Caenorhabditis elegans: one gene and its partners. The protein of the gene in region 3 interacts with the protein of the main gene of each other region in a pairwise test. Each region holds a gene or a part of one and is shown on either strand. Other genes may lie near its edges. The genes, in order: mdt-29, glp-1 and sel-8.

What was found.
Region 1: the proteins of sel-8 (region 3) and mdt-29 interact in a two-hybrid assay, tested with the Caenorhabditis elegans proteins (one study listed by BioGRID).
Region 2: the proteins of sel-8 (region 3) and glp-1 interact in a two-hybrid assay, tested with the Caenorhabditis elegans proteins (one study listed by BioGRID).

Annotation. Positions count from the first base shown.
Region 1 is NC_003281.10:13,771,553-13,779,525, forward strand, and holds mdt-29 (Mediator of RNA polymerase II transcription subunit 29), read left to right. Parts: upstream 1-1,903; 5' UTR 1,904-1,917; coding exon 1,918-1,965; intron 1,966-2,403; coding exon 2,404-2,511; intron 2,512-3,006; coding exon 3,007-3,216; intron 3,217-3,564; coding exon 3,565-3,795; intron 3,796-5,826; coding exon 5,827-6,174; intron 6,175-6,617; coding exon 6,618-6,878; intron 6,879-6,987; coding exon 6,988-7,107; 3' UTR 7,108-7,356; downstream 7,357-7,973. Other genes in the region: pdr-1 (E3 ubiquitin-protein ligase parkin), read left to right, coding at 1-47, 93-238, 329-761, 808-898, 1,178-1,382, 1,436-1,510, 1,557-1,698.
Region 2 is NC_003281.10:9,090,552-9,098,351, reverse strand, and holds the start of glp-1 (glp-1/Notch intracellular domain), read right to left. Parts: upstream 6,112-7,800; 5' UTR 6,040-6,111; coding exon 5,900-6,039; intron 5,040-5,899; coding exon 4,924-5,039; intron 4,284-4,923; coding exon 4,221-4,283; intron 3,702-4,220; coding exon 2,793-3,701; intron 2,493-2,792; coding exon 2,252-2,492; intron 1,947-2,251; coding exon 1,211-1,946; intron 804-1,210; coding exon 331-803; intron 281-330; coding exon 1-280. UniProt on the Caenorhabditis elegans protein: Essential signaling protein which has a major role in germline and embryonic development; involved in cell fate decisions that require cell-cell interactions. Probable membrane-bound receptor for putative ligands lag-2 and apx-1.
Region 3 is NC_003281.10:3,624,075-3,629,008, forward strand, and holds the start of sel-8 (Protein lag-3), read right to left. Parts: upstream 3,069-4,934; 5' UTR 3,047-3,068; coding exon 2,991-3,046; intron 1-2,990. Other genes in the region: mrps-31 (Small ribosomal subunit protein mS31), read right to left, coding at 4,166-4,529. UniProt on the Caenorhabditis elegans protein: glp-1/Notch and lin-12/Notch proteins promote signaling by recruiting lag-3 to target promoters, where it functions as a transcriptional activator, probably as part of a complex with a Notch intracellular domain (NICD) and the transcription regulator lag-1.

The DNA of each region.
Region 1 (7,973 bases), about 10 Mb from region 3:
TAATACAAGATAGAAAAACAGGTCAACGTAGGAATCTAACACTTAATGTAGTGGACATTTCAAACTTTGAATATATACATTATTTTTTTCAGATAAATATAACTGGAAATATCGAAGATCTCACAAAAGATGTGGAAAAGCTCACCGAAATTCCCAGCGATGAGCTGGAAGTGGTTTTCTGTGGGAAAAAGTTATCAAAATCAACGATTATGAGGGATTTGTCACTGACACCTGCAACGTAGGTCAAGTAAATATTTACTTATATAAATAACTGGAATTGTTATTTATATAAATAACTGGAATTGTTATTCAAATAATATTATTTCAGACAAATCATGCTTCTCCGTCCAAAGTTCAATAGTCACAACGAAAACGGTGCTACTACTGCAAAAATAACAACAGATTCTTCAATTCTCGGAAGCTTCTACGTGTGGTGCAAAAATTGTGACGACGTCAAGCGCGGCAAACTGCGGGTTTATTGCCAAAAATGCTCGTCAACCTCTGTTCTAGTCAAATCTGAACCCCAGAACTGGTCCGACGTTCTCAAAAGCAAGAGAATACCGGCGGTCTGCGAAGAATGCTGTACTCCAGGTCTTTTCGCTGAATTCAAGTTCAAATGTCTAGCCTGCAACGATCCGGCCGCAGCTCTAACTCACGTACGCGGAAATTGGCAAATGACCGAGTGCTGTGTTTGTGATGGGAAGGAGAAAGTGATCTTCGACCTCGGATGCAATCATATTACATGCCAATTCTGTTTCAGAGTGAGTAAGAATCTAAATTTTTTGTTGAAATTGTTTAATTTTAAAGGATTATTTGCTAAGTCAACTGGAACGATTCGGTTTTGTCAATCAGCCGCCGCATGGCTTCACCATTTTCTGCCCCTATCCAGGGTGCAATAGTTCGTTCGATTTTATCAAAACCATTCAATTTTCTGCAGTAGTGATCCTGAAAACTAATTGATAGAAACAAAAAATCTTCCAAAAAATACAAATATGTTATGTTTCCATTTTGCAAGTCTGGCATGGTTTTTTTTTTGCAAAAAAAACCCCCACCCGTTCTATTTAAATTTATTTTGAAAATTTTCTCACATGTTTCAATAGTTTTTCAATGCCGAGAAAATTGAAAAAAAAAGTTTTAAAGAAATTAAACAGAACATTTAATTGAAAAATAACTTCAGGAGTGGTACAAGATGTGCACCATTTCCACATTATGGGTCAGACGTCGTACAGCGAATACCAACGGAAAGCCACCGAGCGATTGATTGCCGTGGACGACAAGGGTGTGACTTGCCCGAATGTCTCGTGTGGGCAGAGCTTCTTCTGGGAGCCCTATGATGACGATGGAAGATCCCAGTGTCCAGATTGTTTTTTTTCGTTTTGCAGGTATTTTGAGCTTCTAAATCGGAAATTTTATCGCAATAAATATCATCGTTCAGAAAGTGCTTCGAAAGAAATTGTGTGTGCCAGAGCGAAGACGATCTCACCCGAACTACAATTGACGCGACTACAAGGTGATCTCAGCGATTATCCACTACAAAAAACTGTAAATTCTTCCAGAAGATGCCCAAAATGCCACGTGGCAACCGAACGGAACGGCGGATGTGCTCACATTCACTGTACCTCGTGTGGAATGGATTGGTGTTTCAAGTGCAAGACAGAATGGAAGGAAGAGTGTCAATGGGACCATTGGTTTAATTAATAACTCTCTAAAATTCATCTTTTCTAGAGATTGTACGTGTTATTCTGTAGATTTTTACAACAATTACGGTGTGTCTGAAGTTACATTGACATTTTTTCTCTTCAAATTTTAGATCTTTTTCTCAATTTTTGTTGCTGAGTATTTCGCTCATTTCATACCTTTTTTTAAATGTTTTGCCAAATTTCAAAGAACACATTTCTCGCAGGGATCTCCATAGACATGTCAGGACAAGGACCTCCACCAAGTATGACGCCGCAGCAACAACATGTAAGATTTTTTGTGCTTTTGAACTTGAGAGTAAATTTTAGTGAATTTGAGCACATTTTACAACCTTTTTCGGAAAAATTTCACACTTTTCTACGGCTTCATCCTTAAAACAATTGAAGTCAAAAAATGTCTTTTTTTTAATTTTGGGAACAAAAAAAATTAATGAAAATGTACAATCACACCAACATGGAAACATTTCTTGAGCTTCGGGATATATCTCAGTTTTGGAGTGGGCTGAAAATTATTTTTTTCATGAAAATTAAAAAAACAACTTTTTCATGAAAACAAAACTCACCGCATTTTTTAACTGAAATTTGAAAATTTCTCACTCAAATATCCTTTAAAGTTTCATTTTAAGACGTTTTCAGAGCTTTTTTAAAACCATATAACCAAATTTTAAACTAGGAATAAAAAGATTATAAAATAAAAACATTTCAGATGTTAATGCAGCAGCAACAGCAGCAACAAATGATGCGGCAGCAACAAATGCAGCAACAACAAATGCAGCAGCAACGTCAACAGCAAATACAACAACAGGCTCAACAGGTAGTAATATACCGTCCAATTTATCGAAAATTTGAAATAGCACTTTCTGATAAATTTTTTAACGTAAAATTAAAATATTTTATGATTTTTTCCGCAAATTTCTGATCGAAATTTTTTAAAACATTAAATTAAACAGATTTAGCGTATTTTATCGCTAAAACTAAAGAAATTTGATAGGAAACATACCATTTCGGTTTTTTTAAATAGTAAATAATAACACTACGATACAAATAAAAAGCGCTTAAACATATATTATTCGGTACTTGTGTATTATACCCCCGCCATTTTAAAAATTAATTTTTTAGCTTATAAAATAAAAACGTGTGGAATTTTAGGCTTAGGAAAACACCATTCCTAAGCCTAACAAGGAAAATGGGTATCACGTTTAATTTAAACGGATAAATTAATGGAAATTTAATTAATTTCTAAAATGGCGGGGGTATAATACACAAGTACCTATTATTCTGTAAAATATCGATTTACCACAATTTTCAGCCATACCAACGAGCTCGAACTCCACAAATGGTACCACAAGGAGGCTCGCCGGGAGGTGCTCATCTCCAAATGCATCCTCATCTTCAACCACAAGGACAAATGCAACCGAGAAGCCCTCTAGTTGGAGCACAGCTTCAGGCTCCCTCGTCGGTGCCCACTGCCGCAAATCCGACCACTCCACAGATGATGCAACAGCAAATGGGCATGAATGTACGGGGAGATTTCTGATAAAACTTAGAACTATTGAAAAAATATTTGGAAAAAATTCAAAAAGGGGAAATTAGTGAGAGTTGGAAATTCGTGTTTTTGGAATTTTCATTTTCTTTTCTTTTTTTTGTGGTATTTCAGCATATGGAATGTTCCTAGTATTTTAAAACTGAAAGTAAATCCCCATTTTCCGAACTCTACTTTCATTCAAATTTCCGATTATTTTGTTCAGAATTTTTGTTGGAAATTAAAAAAAAACCAATCTAAAACAATTGGCCGTTCAAACATAAATCTCCAAATAAAAGTAATTTGTGACAATCTTTTTTAGCTGAAAAAAAAATGTAATTTCAGCAACCAATGTCTCTTCCGCCAACACACGTCTCACGTCCAGGCTCAGTTGCTCCGCCGTCGTCGGTTCCCGTCAATTTACAACACACATCTGGTGCACCCGGGCTCCCGGGCTCACAAATGGAGCATCAGTACCCAATGCATTTGCAGCCACAACAGCAGACATTATCAAGGCCGGGGTCTCAGCAAAGTCAACATATTCAACAACCCGGAAGCATTCAAAGACCTGGATCGGTAAATTTTCGGATTTTATTGAAAAATTTTAAAAAAACAGAGAAGAAATATACAGTGCTTCACATAATGATACGGCCACCCCCAAATTTTGGTATAACTCAAAACTGGGTTGAGATAGCAAAACATAGTTTCTTGTGAAAATGTTCGCTGTACTGGCTAACTTTCAGATAAGTATTGGAAATATACCTGAACCGTTCGTAAAAAAAGATAAACCATTTTTTCATGAAAAACCATATAAAAAAATCCACAAAATGATACGGCCACCCTTGGTTTTTGTTTTCTTTTTTCGTTTTTTTTGCAATTTTTTTTGCTAAACGTTAGGTTTCATGTTCGTTTGTGTTTTTACAGCTATGGGTCGTGGAATAACTTTAACTGACTACGAAAAAGGACAAATTGTGCAAAATTATCTCAAGGCTTCTCGGATCGTCAGATTTTTCGTGATTTGAAACGTTTGAGAGATATGATCACTCGATATGCTTCAAATCCTGCCGCTTATTGCACCAAAAAGTCTTCTGGTCGCCCACCACTCCTTTCTGGTAGAGACAAGCGAAAAATCGTTCGTCGAGCATTCAATTGAACAGTGACTTGCTCGAAAAGTAGGAGCGAGATGAACCTGCCAGTGTCTGTTGAGACCGTACGTCGTGTCCTTCGAAGTCCCAGTTTATCAAAAGACGAAAATTAATAAAGGCTAATTTCATTACCGAAAAACACGGCCAAAATCTTATTCAGTTTGCTAAAATCAGCCAGAGAACTAACTGGAGACAAGTGAGGATTACGGTATGATCATTCAATCTCATGTTTTGGTCTCAGATCATCTTCAGTGGCGAGAAAAAGTTTAACTGTGATGGTCCTGATGGCTACCATGATTACTGGCACGATTTGAGAAAAGAAAAGATGAACTGAAACCAAAACATGAGATTGAATGATCATACCGTAATCCTCACTTGTCTCCAGTTAGTTCTCTGGCTGATTTTAGCAAACTGAATAAGATTTTGGCCGTGTTTTTCGGTAATGAAATTAGCCTTTATTAATTTTCGTCTTTTGATAAACTGGGACTTCGAAGGACACGACGTACGGTCTCAACAGACACTGGCAGGTTCATCTCGCTCCTACTTTTCGAGCAAGTCACTGTTCAATTGAATGCTCGACGAACGATTTTTCGCTTGTCTCTACCAGAAAGGAGTGGTGGGCGACCAGAAGACTTTTTGGTGCAATAAGCGGCAGGATTTGAAGCATATCGAGTGATCATATCTCTCAAACGTTTCAAATCACGAAAAATCTGACGATCCGAGAAGCCTTGAGATAATTTTGCACAATTTGTCCTTTTTCGTAGTCAGTTAAAGTTATTCCACGACCCATAGCTGTAAAAACACAAACGAACATGAAACCTAACGTTTAGCAAAAAAAATTGCAAAAAAACGAAAAAAGAAAACAAAAACGAAAAAAGAAAACAAAAACCAAGGGTGGCCGTATCATTTTGTGGATTTTTTTATATGGTTTTTCATGAAAAAATGGTTTATCTTTTTTTACGAACGGTTCAGGTATATTTCCAATACTTATCTGAAAGTTAGCCAGTACAGCGAACATTTTCACAAGAAACTATGTTTTGCTATCTCAACCCAGTTTTGAGTTATACCAAAATTTGGGGGTGGCCGTATCATTATGTGGAGCACTGTATTTATAAACATTTTTAAAAAATTATTCGAAAATTCTAAAAATTTTTAGAAATTTCTCGAATATTCCCGTATTTTAGGAGTAAAAAAAGGTTCTTTTTTGAGATTTTTCAAACGAAATAGTGAAAAAATTTCAATGATAAACAGGAAAAAATCTTCTTTTTTTGAAAAAATTGTATTTCTTAAATAAAAATTACTTTATTTGGCATTTCAAGTGAAAGTTTGATTTTTTTTCAAATTAAAATTTTTATACAAAAAAAAATTCCAAAAAAGTTCAACATTAAATTTCAATGATTTGAAAAATAAAAATAACATTTTTTCGAAAATTTAGAAAACAAAAACCTCTCAAAATTTTCAGGTTCTAGCTCCAGGTTCAATACCTCCCGGCGGGCCAGCTTCCCAAACAGGACCCCAATCGATTCAAGTCTTCGGACCCGGCTCCGTGCAGCCACCAGGCTCAACACAGGCTCCGTCCTCAGTCCAACCGGCTTCCACATTCAATCCAGGCTCGATTCAGGCTCCGGCAAGCCAGCAGCCGCCTGCATCAGTTCAACCACCGCCATCTGCAGCGTCGGGCTCAACTGTGGCCGGTGCGCAGAGCTCCAAAGAGCCGCTGAAACCGAATGAGGAGCAAATTCGAATGGTTCAGGATCCTGTGGATTTGGTTCGAAATTTGGTGCAAAAGGATCTCAGAAATTCGTTGGTGGTAAGCTTTACAATTTTTGTTGGAATTTTGAAGAATAGAAAAAACTAAAGGTTTGAATAAAATTGAATGTTTAGGAAAGAATATGTAAGAAAAATTTATTTCAAATTTTTTTTTTCAAAGCATCAATTATTTTGGTCAAACAAAGAAAAAGAAAAATTCACTTTTAATGGCTTTTCAGAAAAAAAAAATTGTTTTGAAATTTTTGACATATTTAGCTGTTGTTTAAAAATTGTTTGTTGTTTAAAAAGTTGTTGTTTTTTAAAAAGAAAAAATCGAAAAAAAACCTCATCGAAAAAAAGAAAGTATTTTGACTTGAAAACAGAGAAATGAAATTTCCATGTTTTTCTTGAATAAAAAACCATTTTTATATCTTTATTCGATTATTTCAGATTTTTACATAATCAATTAATTTTTTGATTACAAAATCGAATAAATAAATTCAGGAAATGAACAAACGCGGTGCGGAGCTTGTGCGTCAGAAACAAGAAGGAGAAGTGAACGAGGATGGAAAAGCTCAGTACAGCAGAGCCACGAACGATTTTCATGCGGTTTGCGATGAAATTGACCGTACTTTGACGACAGTATTGGAGACAGCGAAACAATTGAGCAAACTTGACAAAGTGTTCTTTGATCGGAGCTCTCGAGATCTCGACGGGGAGGTTATGGTCAATTCTGTGCAGAATTTTGTGGATAATACTGAAATTGTAAGCAGGGTTCAGGCTAAAATTGTGTTTTGGTAGATGTTTGGACACTAACAAATATTCGTTGCGAAGGAGGATCGTTGAAAAAAGTCAAACTTTCCTAATTTTTCAGGTACAAAGAATGTTCGACGACACAATTGGAAGTGTGACGTCTTCAATGGAAAGTATGCGAAGACGACAGAAGAAATGGGAGGATCAACACAAAAATGATGACGTCGAAATGATGGAGTAAATATTAGTTATTTAATGATTGTTCTATTGTTCTCAAATACAAAAAAGCGTTACATTTCTGTAAAATAAAAAAGATAATTTGCATCTATTTCAGAAAATCATTTTCTCAATGTTAAATCTTATTTTTCTTAATTTCTTGTGTGTTTTCATCGCTCAATTATCGTTTTTCTCTGAGAATTGATTTTCCAATGTAAAATGAGAGATCTTCTTGTTTAAAAATAATAATAAAAATCACTTACTTCTCTGAAATATGCGTTTTAATCTCTCAAAAAAATTGAGATTTGTCCGTTTTTCATTAATTCAGACAGTTTTCCGGTAAATCTACTTTTACACCATTTGAAAAGGGAAATACCAAATTATTAAAACAGCATAAAACAAATTTAAAAAATTTCTTCAGTTATTTTCGGTCTATCTTTTTGTCATTAAAATAGTTTTTTTCCAAAAAATGAATTTCACATTTTTAAAGAAAAAATTTGAATTGAGTCAGATTTTTAAGTACGATAATTTTTTATTAGAAAAAAACTAATTTTGAGAAGAAAATAGATATGTAAATGGTTTAAAATGTGTACTTTAAAATGTGAAATTTAAAATTATTACACGGCCCGGCAAGTGGTACATCCATGCAAATGCGCTCTACTGATAATTTGAGTGTAGACCAGGTTTGGGCGCGTGATAACGAAAAAAGCTTTGGTCCAAAAAATTTAGAATTTAATTTCGGACATTTTTTATATGCATCACAAAAAAGCTGGACCAACCGTTTTTGAGATACACGCGCCCAAACGTCCAGGTATACGGTAGACAAATTGCGTACAGGTACCACTTCTCGGGCCGTGTATTATATGACCTCAAAAATTCTGAGAATGCGTA
Region 2 (7,800 bases), 5.5 Mb from region 3:
AGCTCCTTCACGAAGAAGCACTACGGAAAGTCTGACACGGTGTGCACGAACAGCTAGCATCAGAGCAGTATTCTCATCACAATCTCTTGCATTCACATCGGCTCCAGCCTTCAAGCATCGAATTGCCTCTGTTGTAATGACATCTTCCGGTTTTCCTCTGACATTGGCAGCAAGCCAGTGCAGAACTCGTCGTCTATACTTTGAATCCACTTGATTGACTGACTCATTTGTGATTGGAGCTGTAATCGCATCTGGTCCTGCAGCTTGAACATGGAGAGGGCTGAAAGAAACATAACAATAATTATAATAAAACTATAAAGATTCACTCACATTTCGTCGGCTGGTAGATCAGCTGGTGCGAACGTCTCAGATTGAAAGTCAAAGTTCAATTCGTTGTAATCACCGGGATATCCATTTGCGAGAGTTTGTGGATAAATCTGTGAATATTGTTCTCCATTGTAGCCGGTACTATAATCGCTACAGTGTCTCTTGGTATTGGGGTGATAGTAGGCAGAATTGTCAAGAAGAGAGCACTGACTCGAATGATTTGACTGATTCCGACGACCTTTCTCGTTCGTTGATTCCATCGGAGGCATCCAGACTGTTGCGTTCACCATTTTTCTTTTTCTACTTCTTTCTGGACCATTCTTTGCGATAACACCAGCGACAACAGTTCCAAAAGCCAAAAATGCAATACATGCAAACAGAATAACTTGACTGCGAGACCATCCTTCATCGATTTCGTTTCTCTTTGGAACAGCTACCATTGCTTCCGTAATTGGGAGACCCAGAGACATACGACCCTGAAAATGTTTTAATTATTATTTTCCATAACTCAAACAATTAAAGGTTCACCGCTTTTTGGCTCGAAATATACTATAAAATTTTTCTAATTTTTAAAAATTATATTTGGTCATTTTATCACCATAAAAATAGATTTTAAGCCCCACCAGTGCTGGGACTTTTTGATATTTTGACGAAAAATTGTTTTTTTGGTTTTGGATTCAAAAACTAATTTTCTGTACTTCAAACATTTTTTTATGTTTTACAAATATTTTTAGCAAAACGCGGATGATTTTCTTCTAAAAAGTGAAAAGTGAACCGGAAATCTACCTTTTTGGATTTTTCACAAATTTAATTTTTTTTGTTATTTCGGTCCAAATTATTTTGTTTCCAGCCCGGTGCCGTACTCCACATAAAAATAACTTACATCAGACTTCACAAGTCCAGCAGCAATCAAATCAACGACACTTTGCGCTGTTGAAAATCGGCAAAACTCGGGTTTACATATTTCTTCGACTTCCAAATACAAGACAATTCCAGTGACAACAGCTTGCCGATACCTGCGAACGTGATGCGAAAGTACAAATTGATCTTCGAGCTTGCTACTATTCATCTCAACTCTTTCCATTTCATGTTCACCATCCCATCTGAATACAAGAGGTCCAAGTTCATCCCGTTGAATACGTACGGTTGCTCGAAGATTTGCACTGATTTGCATTAGTGTTTCTCCTCCGGTAGCTTGGAATTCAATAGGATCAATTTGAACTTTTATACGAATATCACTGAGGATTATTGCTTCTGTTCCGTTATTGCAATCTCCACCGTCAAAACCACATCCAATGAAACTGCATTCTAAATTACAAACTCCATCGCCTCGTCTTTCAATACAATGTTTCCGAATATGAGCTGGGCATCGAAATAACTCTGATTGACAGTCCAATCCATCGTAAAGACATTCTTCATTATTGCATTCCTGATTACAGACTCCATTTGCGAATTGATCAGCACATCTTGCAGGGTATTGACATTTGGAGAATGGTCTTTGCCCTCCTGAGCAATCACCTCCATCAAAATTACATTCTTCCAAATTGCATTCCGGGTTGCAAATACCATTGGAAGCAAGATCCATACACTTTCGTTGCTCGCATAGATCACGAATGACACTGAAATGTTCACATTTAATACCTTGAATACAAATTTTGAAGGAATTTTATCTTCATCGTCATTATACTCCAAGTGGCTCAAAAAAATAATTCCAAATAAATCATGGCAGTTCAAATCTTGGAAAAAGACAGCCTTATTTTAGCTAAAGAAATTTTATTTAACACCTTCCCCGTGTCACACAAACCGAAGCTGGCAAAATTAGAGATTTGAGCTAAAATTAGGTATTTATTTCATTGAAACCGCTTTTTACTTCAATAAATTATTTTTCTGGGCTGCATTCTTTATAGTATCCAAGAAAACTAACGTCTCTTTTGATTTCTCGATAACTAGAACTTCTTCACAAGTGGGTCCAGTGTATCCATATTGGCATTCGCAATATCCAGTATTCTTACAAACTCCTCCGTTCTTGCATGGATGTCTGGAGCATAACTGTCTATCCTTTATTTCGCAGTAATCTCCAGAGAATCCGTTGGGGCAGTTACATCTGATAACGCCATTCACACCTTCACAAGTACCTCCGTTAGCACATGTAGTTGGAGTGCACACTGAAGTTTGTTGATATTAAGAATGCTGCCTAGTAATCTTGAGCTAAAAATACGGTATCAGGTCTCGCCACGACAAAAATTTTGTTAAATGCGAAAAAATGTGCGCTCCTAAAGAGTACTGTAGTTTAAAAACTCTCCTTGCTCCGGGATTGCCATTGATTTTTCAAAATTTAAGTCTGTGTAGTCTATGTAGATTTGATGTTAAAAAGCTGAAAAATTGATGAAAATTTCACCGTTTGAAACTACAGTACTCTTTAAAGGCGCGTTTGTCGTATATAAAAATAAAATTTTCGAACTTACACAAATGTTGCTCGCAGTTCAATCCATAGAATCCAAGCGGACAATGACATGAATATCCACTGTTTTTGAGATCGATACAAGTCGCATTATTCACACACGGATTGTATTTGCATGACTGAATATCTGGGAACTTGAAATCTTTCCTATTAATCTCACATCGATCTCCAATATAATCAGGTTCACAGACACAGAAACCATTTATACATCTTCCATCGTTGTAACACGTTCCATTGCTCCGAGAGCAGTGTGGTCTCTGTAGTGGAAGATCACAATGAATTCCCCCGAATCCTGAAGGACACTCAATCTCACATCGTTGTCCAGTGAATCCTTGTTCGCAATAACAAATTGGCATCTGATTCGAGTCATGGGCACAGTATCCATCATTTTGGCAAACGTAATCCTTGCACATGTCGATAGCCTCCTCGCAATACTTTCCAGCGTATCCAGGTTTACAGGTACAAGTAAAATCACCGTGCAAATTGAAACATGTAGAGTTGTTAACACACGTTTCTTCGATGAGGCATTCGTTTTTATCCTTATTGCAAAATTCTCCCTCGTATCCCGAGTCGCATACACATCTGAAGTTCTTGTCTTCATCTCTGTTCGGAATACATCTTCCATGATTGCAAATGTTTCCCATCAAAGCACATTCAGTTCGTTCACAATATCGACCGGATTTTCCAATTGGGCAATCACAGTAATAGTTGTATACACTATTGACACACGTTGAACCTTCTGCGCATTCATTTTGAGCACAATGATCGATTCCTTCTTCACAATACGATCCTCCATATCCATTGTTGCATATGCACTGAAATCCACCATAGAATGGATAGCAGAGTCCGTTGTTGCAAGGATCCGAATCGCATGGATTTACTCCCGAAAATAGAGGAGTTTTGCAGTCAGGACCTGAAAATATTAATGTATTAATCACGGATAGGCCTTTGTCTTCTTTTTAAAAAAAGTGGAATTTAAATTCAAATTCCGGCGGAAGTTTGTTTTTCCTAATAGCCATTCACACCTCATTACCCCCAACCGCCGATTATTTCCTTTGAGATGAGAAAGGTGTCAATCTCATTACGGTAAAATAGAGAAAAAGAACACGCAATATTTTGATTTATTTGAGATCAAATCGGTTCCGACAACAGATGGAAAAAGTTATCACAGTGGGAGACTTGGATCTCGCGCATTTCTTATTAGAATATGTTAAATTAAATTAAATATATTTAATTTATTTTTTACTATATTTTTTAAAATCTGATAATTTCATTGGTCCTTTGTGTTTTCGAAAAATATAAAATTGAAAAAAAAACAATTTTGCAACTTTTTAAAAATTAAAATAGCTGTCAATTGTTGCTCAAAACAACAATAATTGTGATACAAAGTCATTGACTATTAGTAATCATACATTATCCAAACTTTACTCACCTCCATAGCCTTCTTCACAGCCTTTTTGAGTACGTTCTGTTGGAGGAGTCTCGTCTTCGCAATCTGAATAATAAAACTTATAAATATTTTCTCATGGCTGTCTGTGTAACAACATCTGCTTGATTTATACTACTGCCCCCGCGCAATGAAACCGAACATTTGCAATAAATCGCATGACAAAGGCGATGAAGATGTGCGAATATGACCTAGTAGAAGCTATCTATCACTAGCGGTCATTTTGAGAGCGTAGAAATGAAAAATAGGATACCACGAATGCGGTACAATTTGTCAATGTTGGGATCTCCCGGGAGAATTATTATACGTATGGTCGCGTGTTTTCCCTAATAAGTTTTCGAAATTTTGATATATCCTGAAACAAAAAATTGCGTACAAGTCGGGCACAATCAAAGAAAAATACACTCGCAGTGTGATGATGGATGATGTGGTGAAAAAGATTGCCGCTATGAAAAAGGGCAGATGAAGAAAAAGGTGGAAGTAAAACATGGAACAAAATTTTGAATTTGAAACGTTTAAAATCTTAAAATGATTGATTAGAATACACTTGAATCGAGATAAAGTATTTATCAAACTATGCAAAAAGGCGATAATTTGATTTAAAGATTTGAGAAGTCCCATTATGAAAATAGGTCGTTTCGGGCAAAATATTATGATATTTAACAGATTTTAGGATTCACAAAATTACCTTGACAGATACACGTCGGATTTTCACCATAAACATCGTAGATGCACTTCTCGCCTCGTTTACAATCCAAATCGCATTCACGTTCACAGAAAGCACCTCCGAATCCTTTTTTGCAACTGTAAATTTGATTAAATTATTTTTAAACTGAAAAGTAATTCAATTGAGACAATTTATGACTGTGGGCCAGTGGTGGGTGACAATCAATAAATTACAGTATTTTTAATCAAAAATCGTGGCAAAATATATCGATTTACTTGAAAATAACAATTTTTCAGCTGATATATTCGTGAAAGTGATCAGAAAACAAATCTCGATAATTCACTCAACAACTTTCAGACAATTTTGGACCATTTTCTCACATTTTTAAGCTGAAATAAGTGTTATTTTCAGATAAATCGAGCGATTTTATGTATTTTAGAGCATCATGGCGCAATTTTCCTATCGATAAATACGTTGATACTCTCTGTATAACTAATCAAACGAGCTAGATAGTAATAAGAAAAGACAAGATTAAAGAACCGACACGCTAATCCAATTGTTTTATGAACGTCCATATAAATTCGCCGACAACCCTGGGAAGATGGCTGTAAACGGCTGTAAATTTTGCCTTTGGAACTCAAAGTTATTGATAAGAAAAATGAATTGTTTGTAGAGAAAAGGGAAAACTAAATAACAATTTTTTAGATTTCCCGAACGATTTACGAGATTTTACATTGTGACAGCCTCCTGCTGTTCATTGTGTTCCCATTCTGCAAGCCGGGTGGCGTTTAATGATGTCTTAGAGGGAAATATGGACAGTGATAATTCAACTTTCGGATATTATTCAAAATGTTCTCTACACCAAGCTTTTGTTTATCTATCGCCTGTTTCCCACCACCACCACCTGCCCAAACTTTCTTTTTTTTGTTCTTTTCGTCACGGTTCATGAGAAAGCGGATGAATAACATTGACATGGGAGAATGAAATATATGCTTACCGGCACCAGTATGTCTCAATCAGTTTTCCATTATAGCATTTTCCATTGACGGAGCAAGCACCTTCCCTTCCGCATTCTCCACCCATAAGTTGACTGGCGATTGGCGCAAAAAACGCGAGTAAAATTAGAAGAACTCGCATTGTTGTGTTCGCTGTTCGAGATTCTGTTATTATTAGTTGTTAGAGCAGCTCTTGGTGTTATTGTACATGAATCTGAAAGAAAATATGAATTAAATCAAGAGATGCGGTTAAGCGAAAAAAAAGAACACTTCAGCATTATCACAAAAGTACAAAAAAAGAACGGAGAACAGGAAAAAAACGAAAATGGAGAAGACAAGGAGCGACGAATGAAGGCCGGGTGGCATACTCCGCCCATTTTCTGAGTGTGTTGCGATTGTCTTGACACCTGAGATGGGCGGTCCAAAAAGAAGGATAACAGTACTTTTTTCGAATAGGAACACTAGAAAAAGAACTGTTAGGATAAATCGGAAAACTCATTGATTACATTATTTTATTGCCTATCCGACAGCTGCATGTTGGTTGCGAAATGTGGAGAAAACAACCAATTTATGGCCTTTCAATTGATCATTCCCGTGAAGAAGAAGTGGGGAAAACGATTTACATAAGAAAGTGAACGAAAAACTTTGTTAGAACGATAAACGGAGATTTGTTTGCAATGATTTACTTGGAACCTATTTTACGCCGTTTTCAAGCGATGAATATTCCGAAAATAATGTGATGGAGCTAAATAAACTTATTACGATCTCATTTAAAATATTAGAAATACAGAAAAATGTTCTTATCGTGTCAAAAAAAGAAAAAAAAACAAAGAAAATCATTTTAAAACTCAAAATAAATTTTGGCGCCGTGCACAGCTCGGAAGTCCGCAATTGACGACCGTACCCCTTCGCTTACCGTAGTTCTGATATTTGCTTATCTTTTTTAAATATTATTCTCAAAAACACACACAAAACTTATCTGAAGATTAAAAATACGAAAAACTGTATTCATGTTTGAATAGAAAAAAATCTACAGTATGTCTGTAAACATTATTTCAATATTCAGTCAATTCTGGAATAAACAAATTTGCTCTGCTTCTGGAAATGTTTATACAAAGAAAAAGCGTTATTGTCGGCATACAATACGGAATATAAAGGAAAACGGAAAAAGAAAACCGAAGTGCTAAATCGATAGTGATCACATAGGCGGTTTCAGAATAATCCACGTTTTCGTGCAGCAAGTCGTCCATTGTTCTCGAATTTGAACCTTCCTAAATCAGTCCGTGTTCTAATTTCCCGTACCTGGCCACATATGAACACAAATTATATTGGTAGAACATATGGAAACAAGGTACACGTGTAGTTATTGTCCGATAAAATGATAGTTTTATGACTCATAGGAAATTTGAATCTAGGAAGATTCCACGCAAAACTGTTGGTCAGATGCAATTTTTCACGATTTTTCGAAAAGATGTGCGCCTTTATGGAGTACAGTAATCCATTTCGCAATTTTCTTTGAGTTTTTCACTATATTTCTCTCGTTCACAAAGATTTTGATGGATTATATTAAATTTCTCGTTTTTGGGAGAAAAAAGTAAAAATCAAAGGCAATTTCAAAAAAAAAACCGGAAAATGGTTACTGTGCTTCTTAAAGGCGCACACCTTTCCGTCAATTTAAAATATTATGTTCGTGGCGAGATACGGGGCATACCGTATTTCTGCGTGGGAAATTGCAAAATTTTGTCAAAAAAAAATTTCTTCCAAAATAAGTTGAAAACTCTCACTGGACCGGACGTACAAAACTACATGTTTCTCCCAAAACATTGTTAATGTTGTTTCTCATACTCGAGGTTACCTAGGTATTCAAAACATTTGTACTGAAGAAAAAACATTCAGCATTCGG
Region 3 (4,934 bases):
CGCAGCAGCATGGCAAACGACACCTGCACGTGTTTGTGTATGTGTGTGGTACACCCTCCAAAAAGGGCCGTCATAATCGAAGAAGAAGATGAAATTGCCGAGAAGGAGGTATTAACCGGATCAACTCAATTGGCATACACAGGGAAGATTCGGGTACTTTTGATGTTGGAAAATGGTCTGGAAAGTCTAGATCTGGAGAAAAAGTTACTGTGCAAAATAGAGAACATAACTTGCTATATCCTGAGAAAAAGCATTGTATGAACTGTTGGATCTGATAGAATCCCAAAAAAACTTCAGTTAGACTGCTCGGTGGCTCAAACTTCACGTCAGCACTGTGAAATGAAAAGTTGAGAAGTCTTCGTCTAAATTTCCGCAATTCTCGTAGATCTAAGTAGATCAACCCGAAATGGGACACTCTCACACCAAGTGAAGCTTGCTACTCAGATATCTTTTACGTTATCGAAAAATTGTTAACTGATGTCTCTACAAAACTTTGAAAATCTAAATTTTTATAGCAATTTAATTGTACAAACCATGGCAGAATTAATTGAAAATTTAGAATTGTAAAATTACAATTCTTTCAAAAAATTGGTTAATCTGACCGATGGAGAGTTCTGACTACTAAAACCTACAAATATGGATACGATAGCCAGGTGTCCTTCATTTTCAACTTGAAAAAAAAAAGTTTTTCACATTACAAAAATGGACGAATCCAAAAAAAAGCGAGTTGCAGGTGTGTGCAATTATGACACAATGCCTCTTTTTTTGGAATGAATATTCCTGGAACTGAGCCAGTTATTGGCAGCCGGTAATTATAGAGGTCACAGGTGGAACCAGAGGACTTGAGATAAAATCTAGAGCATTAGAAAGAAGATTCTGGAAATTGCAGAGATTCGAGGCAGGGGTGGATGGGAAACGATTTTTCACGGCAAATCGGCAAATTGGCAGAAATTAAAATTTCTGGCAAACTGGCAGAAATGATAATTTCCGGCAAATCGGCAAATTGCCGGAATTGAAATTTCCGGCAAATCGACAAATTGGCAGAAATGAAAATTTCCGCCAAATCGGTAAACCGGTAAACTGCGAGAAATGAAAATTTCCGGCAAATCGGCAAATTGCCAGAAATGAAAATTTCCGGCAAATCGGCAAATTGGCAGAAATTAAAATTTCTGGCAAACTGGCAGAAATAATAATTTCCGGCAAATCGGCAAATTGCCGGAATTGAAATTTCCGGCAAATTGGCAAACCGGCACATTGCCGATTTGCCGGAAAAACGGCAATTGCAGAAAAGTTTCGGCAAATTGTGGTTTTGCATTTTGGAAATATGAGAATTTCAATTCTAATCGGCAAAAACAAAAATTGGCAATTCGCCGGAATTTAAAATTTCCGGCAAATCGGCAAACCGGCAAATTGCCGGAATTAAAATTTGCTTGAAATTTCTAAATTGCAAAAATAATTAAAATACCAAAATTTTGCAGAGCACTTCAAATTAAAAAAAAAAAAACTTCACAATGAAATGCAAGTTTTTAGGTTCAAATCAATTTCAATCTTCTCAATTTCATCTAAGAATTTCACTCAATTGTCTCACATAGACATTTACACTGAAAAGTGCGGACAGGTTATCAAAAAGTCAGTCAAAAGGACGAAAGCATTGGAGGTGCGTGATGAGAAGAGGCGACAACGACCACATAAATGATTTGGCAGTTTAGTCCCGGACGGGCGCCATCGTCGAATTTTAATTGGTTCCGTTGTCTCTGTCGAAGTGAAGGAGATGGAGATGGATGAAATATTGAACAAAAAATGAAAAAGTTGGTGAAATTTAGATTGCATTTAGATAGAGAAAATGAATATTTTTGGGTGAATTCTACTTCAAAAATTTCTAGGAAAAGTGTGTGTAAATACGGATAATAGGAGTTTTCAAGGAACACTGTCTAGGGTCAACTTCTCAAAAAAGAAAATAATAATATATTTTCAGAACCAATTTTAGAAGGACAAACTAGCTCAATTTTCGAGGTTTCTCGGCAATGTTACAGGCTTTTTCTTAAATAGAACAAAAATTACGCTTTGAATGGGAAATGCACCAAGAATTGGTGAAAATCCTCGGGGAGTACACGAGCTGCGTAAATCGACACGAGGTTTTTTATAGACTTTCATGGTTTTTTTTTTCAAAGTTGGGAATCATGAATCACACCAAATGTTACAAAAAAAAAGTATGTGATTTCAAATTTTTAAATTGAAACTATTTTCTCCTTTTGAATTTTTTTGTCAATATTCAAAACAATATTCAATTTTTTCAGCAATTTTTCGGGAAAAAACATTTAAATTTTTTGGCATTTTTTAGTGGAATTTTTTTGTTTTCTGCTACCAACAAATCTTAAAAGTATAAAAAATTTTATATTTTTCTCGCTAATTTCAACTTTTCATCAAAAATTATTGTGTATTTTCAGCAAAAAATTTATTTTTATTTGCTGCAAATTTTGCTGGATTTTTTTTTTGGTTTTTTAAACAAAATTTGATTTTTTTCAAATTTTTTTTTATCAATAGAGTGATTTTTCTTGGTAAATTTAATTTTAATTAAAAAATTTCAATTTTCTTAAATGCGATTTTTTTTCCAAAATTTTTTAGCAAGAGAGTAGTTTTTCTTGGTAAATTGTATTTTAATTATATAGTTTTAATTATCTAAAATTCAATTTTTCAGGTAGTAAAATCCAGTTTTCTATACGAAAAAGCAATTGAAATTTTTTTTTCAAAAGCCACTGGAAGTTGACAAATTCGGCAAATTGCCGGTTTGCCGGATATCAGATTTGCCGGAAATTTTTAGAAGGATTTTTTATAAGACGGAACCCTGAAAACTGTGCTTTTTTGATATTTTTTCCTATTTTTTTATTTTCATAGAATTTGCTTATTTTTTCGGAGTAAACATGTAAAATTGAGGCAATTTTTAGGTAAATTTTTTCCCGGAAAATTCAAAATTAAAGAGAAAACCGCACCTTGGCTCCGAAATAAACATCTCCTCAATCACAAAGAATTCCGAGAGATCATCCATCGACACATATGAGAGTTGATGCCTGAAAAAGAGCCCAAAAATTGGAGTCTCTGAGACTTTCATACATTTTCCGCTTCATATATTTCTTACTCGCGGGGATCTATCCACCAAGTTGTTCAACAAATTTCAAGAAACAAATATTTTGGATAAATTTTGTTGGAAAAAAAACTCTGGGGGTACACAATGAAAAACAGAAAATGATAAAGAGATAAATAACAATTAAAAGTGAATCCTAAAGAAATAAAAAACAAAACAAAAAAAGAAGAAGAAAAATCCTATTCACTATTAAAAGATAGAGTACCGAAATCAGATTCAAAATGTCCCAAAACTTTCGAATTTTATAATGAAAAGTTCCGAAAATTTCTCAAAAAAAGGTTTTCGCAGTTCAAAGTTATGGAAAAATTCGTATTTTCAGCAAAAAAATCAATTTAAGGTTTTTTTTTTGGTTTTTAATCTAAATTCGATTTTTTTCCAAATTTATTGTTTATCAAGAGTCGTTTTTCTTGGTAAATTGTATTTTAATTATCTAATATTCGATTTTTCAACTAATTTTCTACACCGAAAAGCCTAAAAACTTTCGGAACTTGTTGTTTATTTAATTAACACCTTTTAATACATAGTTTAATTAATTTAGATACATTTTCAATTGATGGGTGCACAAATTTTATATAATTTTGTGCGCTCTCAACGAGTAAACGCGTAATATATTACTAAAATATGCATTAAAAGGAAATAAAATTAAAAATTAATTCCGCATATTGATTTTTGTTTCGGTTTTTTTCTGAAAAATAAATCAAAAATTCTGATTTTCTTTGAAAAAATCAAAAATTCTCAGATTTTCTATGAAAAAAAAATTGAAATTTGTTTTTACTTTCCCGGAAAAATCGAATTTTTTAAAAATTTTCTCCGAAAAAAATCGGAATTTATTACATTTTCTCAGAAAAACAAAATCGAATTTTTCAAAATTTTCTCAAAAAATCGCTTTTCTCTGAAAAACATCGAAATTTTTTGAACCACCCTAAATTTTTTTTTTGAGAAATTTTCAGAACATCTCATTGCGAAATTCGGGTTAAATTTCGGTACTCCACCTTCAAACAAAAATTTAAAAAAAAATTAAAATTAAAGAGCATTCTGAGCAGCAATCTGTTCCTGTTCGTGAAGTTTGTGAACCAATTTCTGTTTTTCCGTATTGAAATAATCAGCGAACCACTTCAAATGTTCCCGCTTCTTCGCTGCTGTCATATATGGATTCTTGGATAAACCAACACAAACCAAATGCATAAAATGAGCAATTGGACCAGATTTCGGGATACCCAATGATGGTAAATGTCTCTCCAAGAATACGTGATCAATGAATGAAACATTCGATTCATCGCCCATTTTGAACTCATTATCGATTGGATATTCCCATTGTTTTCCTTTTGTTGTCCATTCGATTTGTTCTTCGAAAGAATTTGTTGGTCCGAATGAGCCGTTGGAAATTCTGAAAAAAAAACGGTTTTTTTAAGGTGGATAATGGATTTGAATGATCAAATAAGTAAAGAAAATTATAACATTTTTCTACATTTTTCCAATTTTTCTTTCAATTTTTCAACACAAAAAAATGCCAAATTTCATGAATTGATTGACTTGAAACATTTTCTATTTTTCGTTTTCCTTTTTTGAAAATCAAAAAAAAATTGTTTCTCGATATTAGTTATTTTTCCGATGTTTCAATTTTTGATTTTTTTAATTAGCTGAATTTATGATAATTTTTCTTCTTTTTAAATGACATTTTTATGTTTTTCATCATCAATATGAACAAAATTAGATAAAAAATCGATTTTGATGGTTAATTTTCTGATCCAATTTTTTTTTGGATTTTTTAGAAAACCGGCAAAATTTCGTT